Saccharomyces cerevisiae S288C: one gene and its partner. The gene in region 1 interacts genetically with each later gene. Each region holds a gene or a part of one and is shown on either strand. Other genes may lie near its edges.

Evidence for each region.
Region 2: of RSB1 (region 1) and ORM1, extra expression of one rescues a mutant of the other (dosage rescue), as found in Saccharomyces cerevisiae (one study listed by BioGRID).

Annotation. Positions count from the first base shown.
Region 1 is NC_001147.6:421,943-425,568, reverse strand, and holds RSB1 (phospholipid-translocating ATPase RSB1), read left to right. Parts: upstream 1-1,836; coding exon 1,837-2,901; downstream 2,902-3,626. Other genes in the region: ETT1 (Ett1p), read left to right, coding at 1-723. UniProt on the Saccharomyces cerevisiae protein: Catalyzes the ATP-dependent translocation of sphingoid long-chain bases (LCBs) from the cytoplasmic site toward the extracytoplasmic side of the membrane (flip-flop). Involved in the establishment of the functional lipid asymmetry of the plasma membrane.
Region 2 is NC_001139.9:558,612-561,943, reverse strand, and holds ORM1 (sphingolipid homeostasis protein ORM1), read right to left. Parts: upstream 1,263-3,332; coding exon 594-1,262; downstream 1-593. Other genes in the region: long-chain fatty acid transporter ACB1, read left to right, coding at 1,950-2,213; CAX4 (dolichyldiphosphatase), read left to right, coding at 3,076-3,332. UniProt on the Saccharomyces cerevisiae protein: Component of the SPOTS complex that acts as a negative regulator of sphingolipid synthesis. Acts by inhibiting serine palmitoyltransferases (LCB1 and LCB2) activity.

The DNA of each region.
Region 1 (3,626 bases):
TATATTTCCAATCTCCATTTGAAATCGAAGGATAAAAAACTTGATCTTGTAGGACAGCTTGAACATGGTAAGAAGCATTTTTCAATTTATGAAAACGATACTGAATTTACTTTTGAAATCCTACAAATGGTGAATGACTTATTGGACATCGTCGAGAATTTTGGTCGCGAACAATCTATTCAAGAGGGCATAGATAGCGATAATGAAGAGGAAGAGGAACTCATTGATATTGAGTTGGAACCAGAACACCCTGTATATCCCCTACAACAATCGCTAGAAGCGAATTACGAGTGGCTAAGAAACCATTTTGATAAATTGCTTGACAACACAAATACAGATGTGAAAATCTATGCATCAATAGCTAACACCCTAGGGGAACTATACCTAAAAAAAGCTGAAGAACCAAGTAAAGTTTTCTTAAGCCTACAGTACGATGATGGCGGTTCTGAAAAGGTTAGCGACAAGGAAGCCAAGAACGCCCAAGAAACCGCTTTGAAGCACACAAAAAAGGCTTTAGAATACTTGGAAAAGGCTAAACTGGAGGATGATCCGGACACCTGGGTTCAAGTCGCCGAAGCATATATTGACCTAGGTAACCTGCTTGACAATGAAAGTGCTGAACAAGAAGAAGCTTACAAAACCGCCGAAGAAATCTTAGGCAAAGCAAACAAGGCTTCTCATGGTAAATTTCAAGATGTCCTGGACAATTTCTTACAAGGCTGAGCGCATCCACGCTTCTTTTTTATTTTTACTCACTCCTTCTGTTGCCTTAAGTACTCTCAAAAATTACTATTTTTATCTAGTTTTATAGAAAAGCTAAAAGAAAGGCTATATTTATTAGAGCGCGTGTTGAAATATAGTCACAACTTATTTAATGAGTTAAACTTTTGGTTTCCTTTTAGGTTTTTTGGTGCTCAGCCTCGTCATCACCCAATAAAGAGTTTATTATCAATGGCTTCAGTGAAACAAACCAACAAAACTCTCCGAGAGGGCAATCCAGAGCATAGCACAATCTTTTACATCCGCGGAAGCATTCTTGCTCCGTCATATTTCCTTCCGGACTTCGCTCGGACTCTTTTTCCGCGGAAAGATATGGTCTCCGTCGGTCCTCTGTTTCCTATTATATTTGCGCACAGTGACAGTGCGGCAATTGATATGTCAGGGACCACTGGAAAACGACGTTGCCTAGTAGTTGTGGCAGCTCCGATAGTTGACATTCTCATTAGTAACCGAACTTCTTGCACCAAGTCCTGTGCGAGTGCTGCACGGCCATGCCTTGAGGGTTCTGTCGCCCCCTAGCTGTACGTAAGCATCCCCCGTAATTTTTCCGCAAATGTCGAAAAGCTCTTGACTTTTTCTCGCTATCTCGCTCTCTAAAAGGGAATAGGTGTGATTCTGATCGGTTGTACCCACGGAGCTCTAATTTGCCCTGTTTATTTTTCTTTGGTGTGCCTCCCATTTTCACCTAAAACAGTTGAGCTGATGGGCAAAACACTATATAAGGTTTATTATTTGCAGTCGACCCCAGAATCAATAGAAATAAGAAGAGTTTTCCTTGTCGCTTGCACAGTAAAGTATTTTTTTTTTTTCTTTCAGTAGTAGACTTAAAATTCATTACTTTTCTACGTAAACTCTGGTTTCCTAGCAGTTCAAGCAATAGTATACTAAGGGCGTAACTAATTACTGCTGGTTGTTCTAAAATAGATTTCTCACAGTACTTTTTTTCTGATTATAGACGTTGAGAAATTCAAAATGTCCAACGCAACAAATAATACGTTAGGCAGTCTTTTGCCACAGTTAGAAGCAGCAGCTAACAGTAATTCCCTTTATGGTGGTATGGTACCGAACCTTCGTTTTAATATCACGATGATTGTCATTTGGGGTATACTACTGACAATACATGTCGTACAGTTACTGATGCGCCAATACTGGTTTTCAATCGCTTTTATATGCACAGGTATTTTGGAAGTTCTTGGATTTATAGGGAGGACGTGGTCGCATTCTAATGTCGCCGATATGGACGCTTTTCTTTTGAACATGATTTGTTTGACTATTGCACCAGTTTTCACAATGGGTGGTATTTATTATCAACTTGCAAAGCTTATAGAAGTATACGGCCACAGGTTCTCTTTATTGCCCTCTCCAATGGCGTATTCTTTTATTTTCATATGTTCCGATATCGTATCGCTTGTGGTGCAAGCTGTAGGCGGTGGCCTGTGTGGTGTGGCGGTCACAGATGGAACGTCCACAACAACCGGCAATCATGTTTTCATTGCTGGTTTGGCCATTCAAGTTGCATCGATGGCCATCTTTCTTATGTTATGGTTTCACTTCCTTTTCCGTATATATATATCGGTAAGATGGGAACACATAAATTCTAGACCTATCTCATTGAGCCTCTTAAAGATATCGCAAACAGAAGTTGATTATTTATACAGGGAAAAGTTCCATTTTTTGAGACTCGAACCTAAACGTTGGGTTTTTCATTATTTTAATCTGGCAATAACCGTTGCGGTACTAACCATTTTTACCCGTTGTTGTTACCGTTTGGCTGAATTAGTTGTCGGTTGGGATGGCTATCTGATCACACACGAGTGGTATTTTATTATCTTAGATGCATTAATGATGGCCATCGCTACGGTCACTTTGACCATCTTCCACCCTGGATTTGCGTTTAAAGGTAGAAGCACCTCGATTCCAATCACACCGGGCCATGTTGATCCTGAAACTTTACCACATACTGACGATGTTGAAGATATCTTAGATACTTCGGATTCAAAACAATTTGATATTGAAAAGGAGGAATTCCAAGCAAGCATGAAATACCCGATTAGCACCTTCAAACAATTCATGTCCAAAATAGCTAACTTGTTTTCCTCTAAAAAGAAGGCTAAACTTTAGTGATACGTAGAATTTGAATGTCAATCTGATCGTTCATATGCATTTTTCAATTCTTACTTTTTTTCTCGAAGTTCCCGACTATGTTCTGTTTATTTTTTCTCCTATTCAAAAGAACCGGACAGCATTTTTACTTCCTTATATTTCGACATCGTAATATGTACATTTTTTAGTTCACAAGTATTTTTCCCCTTTCAATGCTTTAATCAGCCTTCAACGTCATACATACTTTCTATTTTGTTCCTGTGCCATCGTATAACTTTCCTCGTTTAGTGTTTTCGCCTCAGCTTAATGTAGATCACTGTTTTGACGTTCTTCCATTTTTGGGAACGAACTAAACTAAAAAAAAGAAAACTACAGAGTTTCCCATAGAGAACAGAAAATCCGCTATCGGCAGCTTATAGGGTCATATAATTATGGCGCACATAAGGAAAATAAATTTATTTGAATCAATCAACAGACCTATCTGTTGATATATGAAAGAGAGCAGGAGCGTTAGTTTACCTCCATAAACAGTAAAATTAAAGCAAAAAAGCGTAACTGCTGATTGAAGCCTATATCACCGGGCTAAAATCTTATATCGGTTAAGAAAGTGATTAATTTATAGATATGTTCACGAAATCTTTTCTATTCAAAGATTCACGAATTTTACTCGATTTTTATAGTATACTGAAACAAGTAGTTGTAAAATCAATTCACCAAAAAAGCTTTCCCCATCTCTGATGAAA
Region 2 (3,332 bases), on another chromosome or scaffold:
AATCCTCGAGGAGAACTTCTAGTATATTCTGTATACCTAATATTATAGCCTTTATCAACAATGGAATCCCAACAATTATCTAATTACCCACATATATCTCACCTTCAGCATCTTTTTCCCCATTTTTTTACTTGTAGTATAGATTGTTGTTTACGTGCACGATTAGCTTCTTCAAACCAGGAAACAGCAATGTATACATTGGCAACTTGGCCGAGTGGTTAAGGCGAAAGATTAGAAATCTTTTGGGCTTTGCCCGCGCAGGTTCGAGTCCTGCAGTTGTCGTTATTTTTGAGTTTTCCGATGTCTATTTTGTGATAATAGTATTAGAAGCAGTACGTGAAATAGTGCTAATACTATCTGTTATTCTTTTTGAATAGAATATGATTATATGAATTAAATACAATTTCAACAAATAGGTTTAGAAGGTGCATTAATATGGAATTTTTTCAATTTTTGTTCACATTCTTTTTCATTTACATAAATGAAGTCCGAAATCCGTTGTTGGCTTTTGAAATTTCAAAGCGTTAGTGATTTGGCCCAGAAAATATAAATATAGCAAAAACATCTAGATACAAGATTGAAATAAACTATGTTCAACTAATTTGGGCGCGACCTGTGATACCTGGGATAGAAATCCTTAATCTATGAGTAACAGGTAACTTTGGGACAACAGCACCAAAGGTTGTCAAAAAACAATTCCATGAAAACAATTTCAAATCATAGTGAGCATAATGAGTACTAACTAAGAATAGGGCGATCGGGACACTAATCAAAAATTTTCTTGAAGGAGTATATAAAGTCTCGTCGTCAATTTGTTCCCACATCGTCAAGTTGTCATAAGCACCACCATTGAAATCGAAAGGGGTACCCTTAATCAGATGGAACATGACATAGGACCCAATAACATATGTCATATTAGTCAGAGTCCACGACCATTCTGTGGTAACACCAGGAAATAAATTATAAAATAGTTTCAGCAGTATGATAATGACCACATGAATAATCCAAGCGCCGCGTTGGTCTACCCAAGTAGCATTCATATTTGGTAGAAGTTGCTGGTCATTTTCATCTTCAAAAGTCTCCGGTTCCACATGTGAAATTATGCTGGAAGAACGCCTTCTTCTATGATCTTTCACAGGTTCCGTCGTTTTAATTGATGAAGATGCACTGCCTGCAGAAGGAAACGGCTTAAGGTCCGTTTGATTTCGACTATACGAGGTAGAAGCCGCCTCAGCAGTTCCTTGATAATCTAATTCGGTCATTAACTAAATGGATAAAAATGCAATGAAATACAAAATAAGAATAACTCTGCTTTTTAGAGAATATGTGGTAAACAACAAAAGGTAGTTAGGGAAATTCAAAAAGGGAATATCAAGCAAAGGAAGATGTTATCGATCAGTGAATTTTTCTTGTTTCGTGAATCCACTGAAATATCTGCATCTGAAGGCGAGATCTCATGATAGTTTTCTAAGGTCTTAAAGTGAAAACATAGGCATTTCACTATACCCGATAGTTGTCGGGTAACGGCTTTGAGTCTACGATGGTTTATATACCGCAGCTCCGTTAGCAAAGGAATAGAGGAAACTCGAAACAGGTAGTCTAGCAATTTGTGTAGGGACTAAACATATTTCGACTATTCTCTATAATCCGTTCCTAAACTACATGCCACAAACTCTCGTATTGAAACATTCCATTAAAAAATGACCGTCGGAAGAGATTACGGCCTTGGTGCCTGAAGACAGGTGGCGCTGGCGGCCCTACGCGCTCTCTGACACGTCCGCAAACTCAACAGCTCCAGGCCAACTCCCCAATGACCGCCATATATATAGCTAGCTTGGATCAATTGGTCTGTCTCGGAAGCAAGTACGTTATGTACATCATTTCACTGTGTGAAGCAAAAGAAGGAAGACTAAAACTCTAAAATTAGTTAAACTAGTGTTTTCAGCAAAATGGTTTCCCAATTATTCGAAGAAAAAGCTAAAGCCGTCAACGAGCTACCAACGAAGCCCTCCACTGATGAATTATTAGAATTGTATGCTCTGTACAAGCAAGCCACTGTAGGTGACAACGACAAGGAAAAGCCTGGTATTTTCAACATGAAGGACCGCTACAAGTGGGAAGCCTGGGAAAACTTAAAAGGTAAATCCCAGGAAGATGCCGAAAAGGAATACATTGCCCTTGTTGATCAACTGATTGCCAAGTACTCCTCTTAGAAAAGGGGTATACTAGCTCCATGTAAGGAGTTTTGGCCTAGCTTTCCTTGTTACTATTCTATTATTATATTTTATTGGCTGCAAAAACGTGACTTATGTACATTTATAAATGCCCATATCCCTTACTACTCTCCCTGGGGACAAGGCGTAATAACTGTTAATAAATGCATATACTCTGTTCTATTTAAATTCTCGGGGTTCGCTGGAATATTGAATCACAATTAGGGAGATTCGCATGTAATTTACGCCGAGAATGATACTGATTTGTGTTGAATATGACAAGGTTTAGCGGAAACACGCTCTTGAAATTTTTAAAGATATTTTCATGATTTATATACAGACTGATCTGTATACATTTTTATATTGTCATACATAGGCTTTAATAACTACTCAGTTTTTTTTGATGGCGGCAGAAGCAGCGCTTTCATTGCTCTACACAAATCCGCAATTCAAGTGACAGACGCCAAACTAGTGGTACAGTACACTTACTGAAGCGCACCATGTATACCCTGATCTACATCTAGAGCTTGTTCAGTTTTTCTTTATGCTTTTAATTACGCCAGGAAGAAAACCGTTCTTACGTGGTGGATGAAATAGGAGAATTCGGGTTTCTGGGAAAACTTAAAATTTCTTGTTGGAAAAGTAGAAAGAAAAAGAAAAGTTTGCCTTCTGAGAAAATGCTACATATGGTAGAGACATCAATCGATTGCTCAACACGCGTTAAAAAGGGGAAAGTGATTGCCACTGTGATCACTTTAAATCATTTCTTCGTTCTCATTCTTTTCGTCTAATTTTCTTCTCTACCACTCATTATACCAGGCATTTTATCTACATCAAAATTTGTTTTGAATCGGATCATATCATGAATAGTACCGCCGCTGCAATAAATCCAAATCCAAATGTTATACCATTCGATGACACATACATTCTCTATGATTCGCATGACTTTCTATCATTCCTTAGTGCATATTTCTCGCTGATGCCCATCCTAGTGCTAGCTTTTTATTTGTCGTGGTTTATCATCACAAGAGAGTTAGAAGCCTGCATTGTAGCCTTTGGCCAATTGATGAACGAAATATTCAATAACGTGATCAAGAATATAATAAAACAGCCACGCCC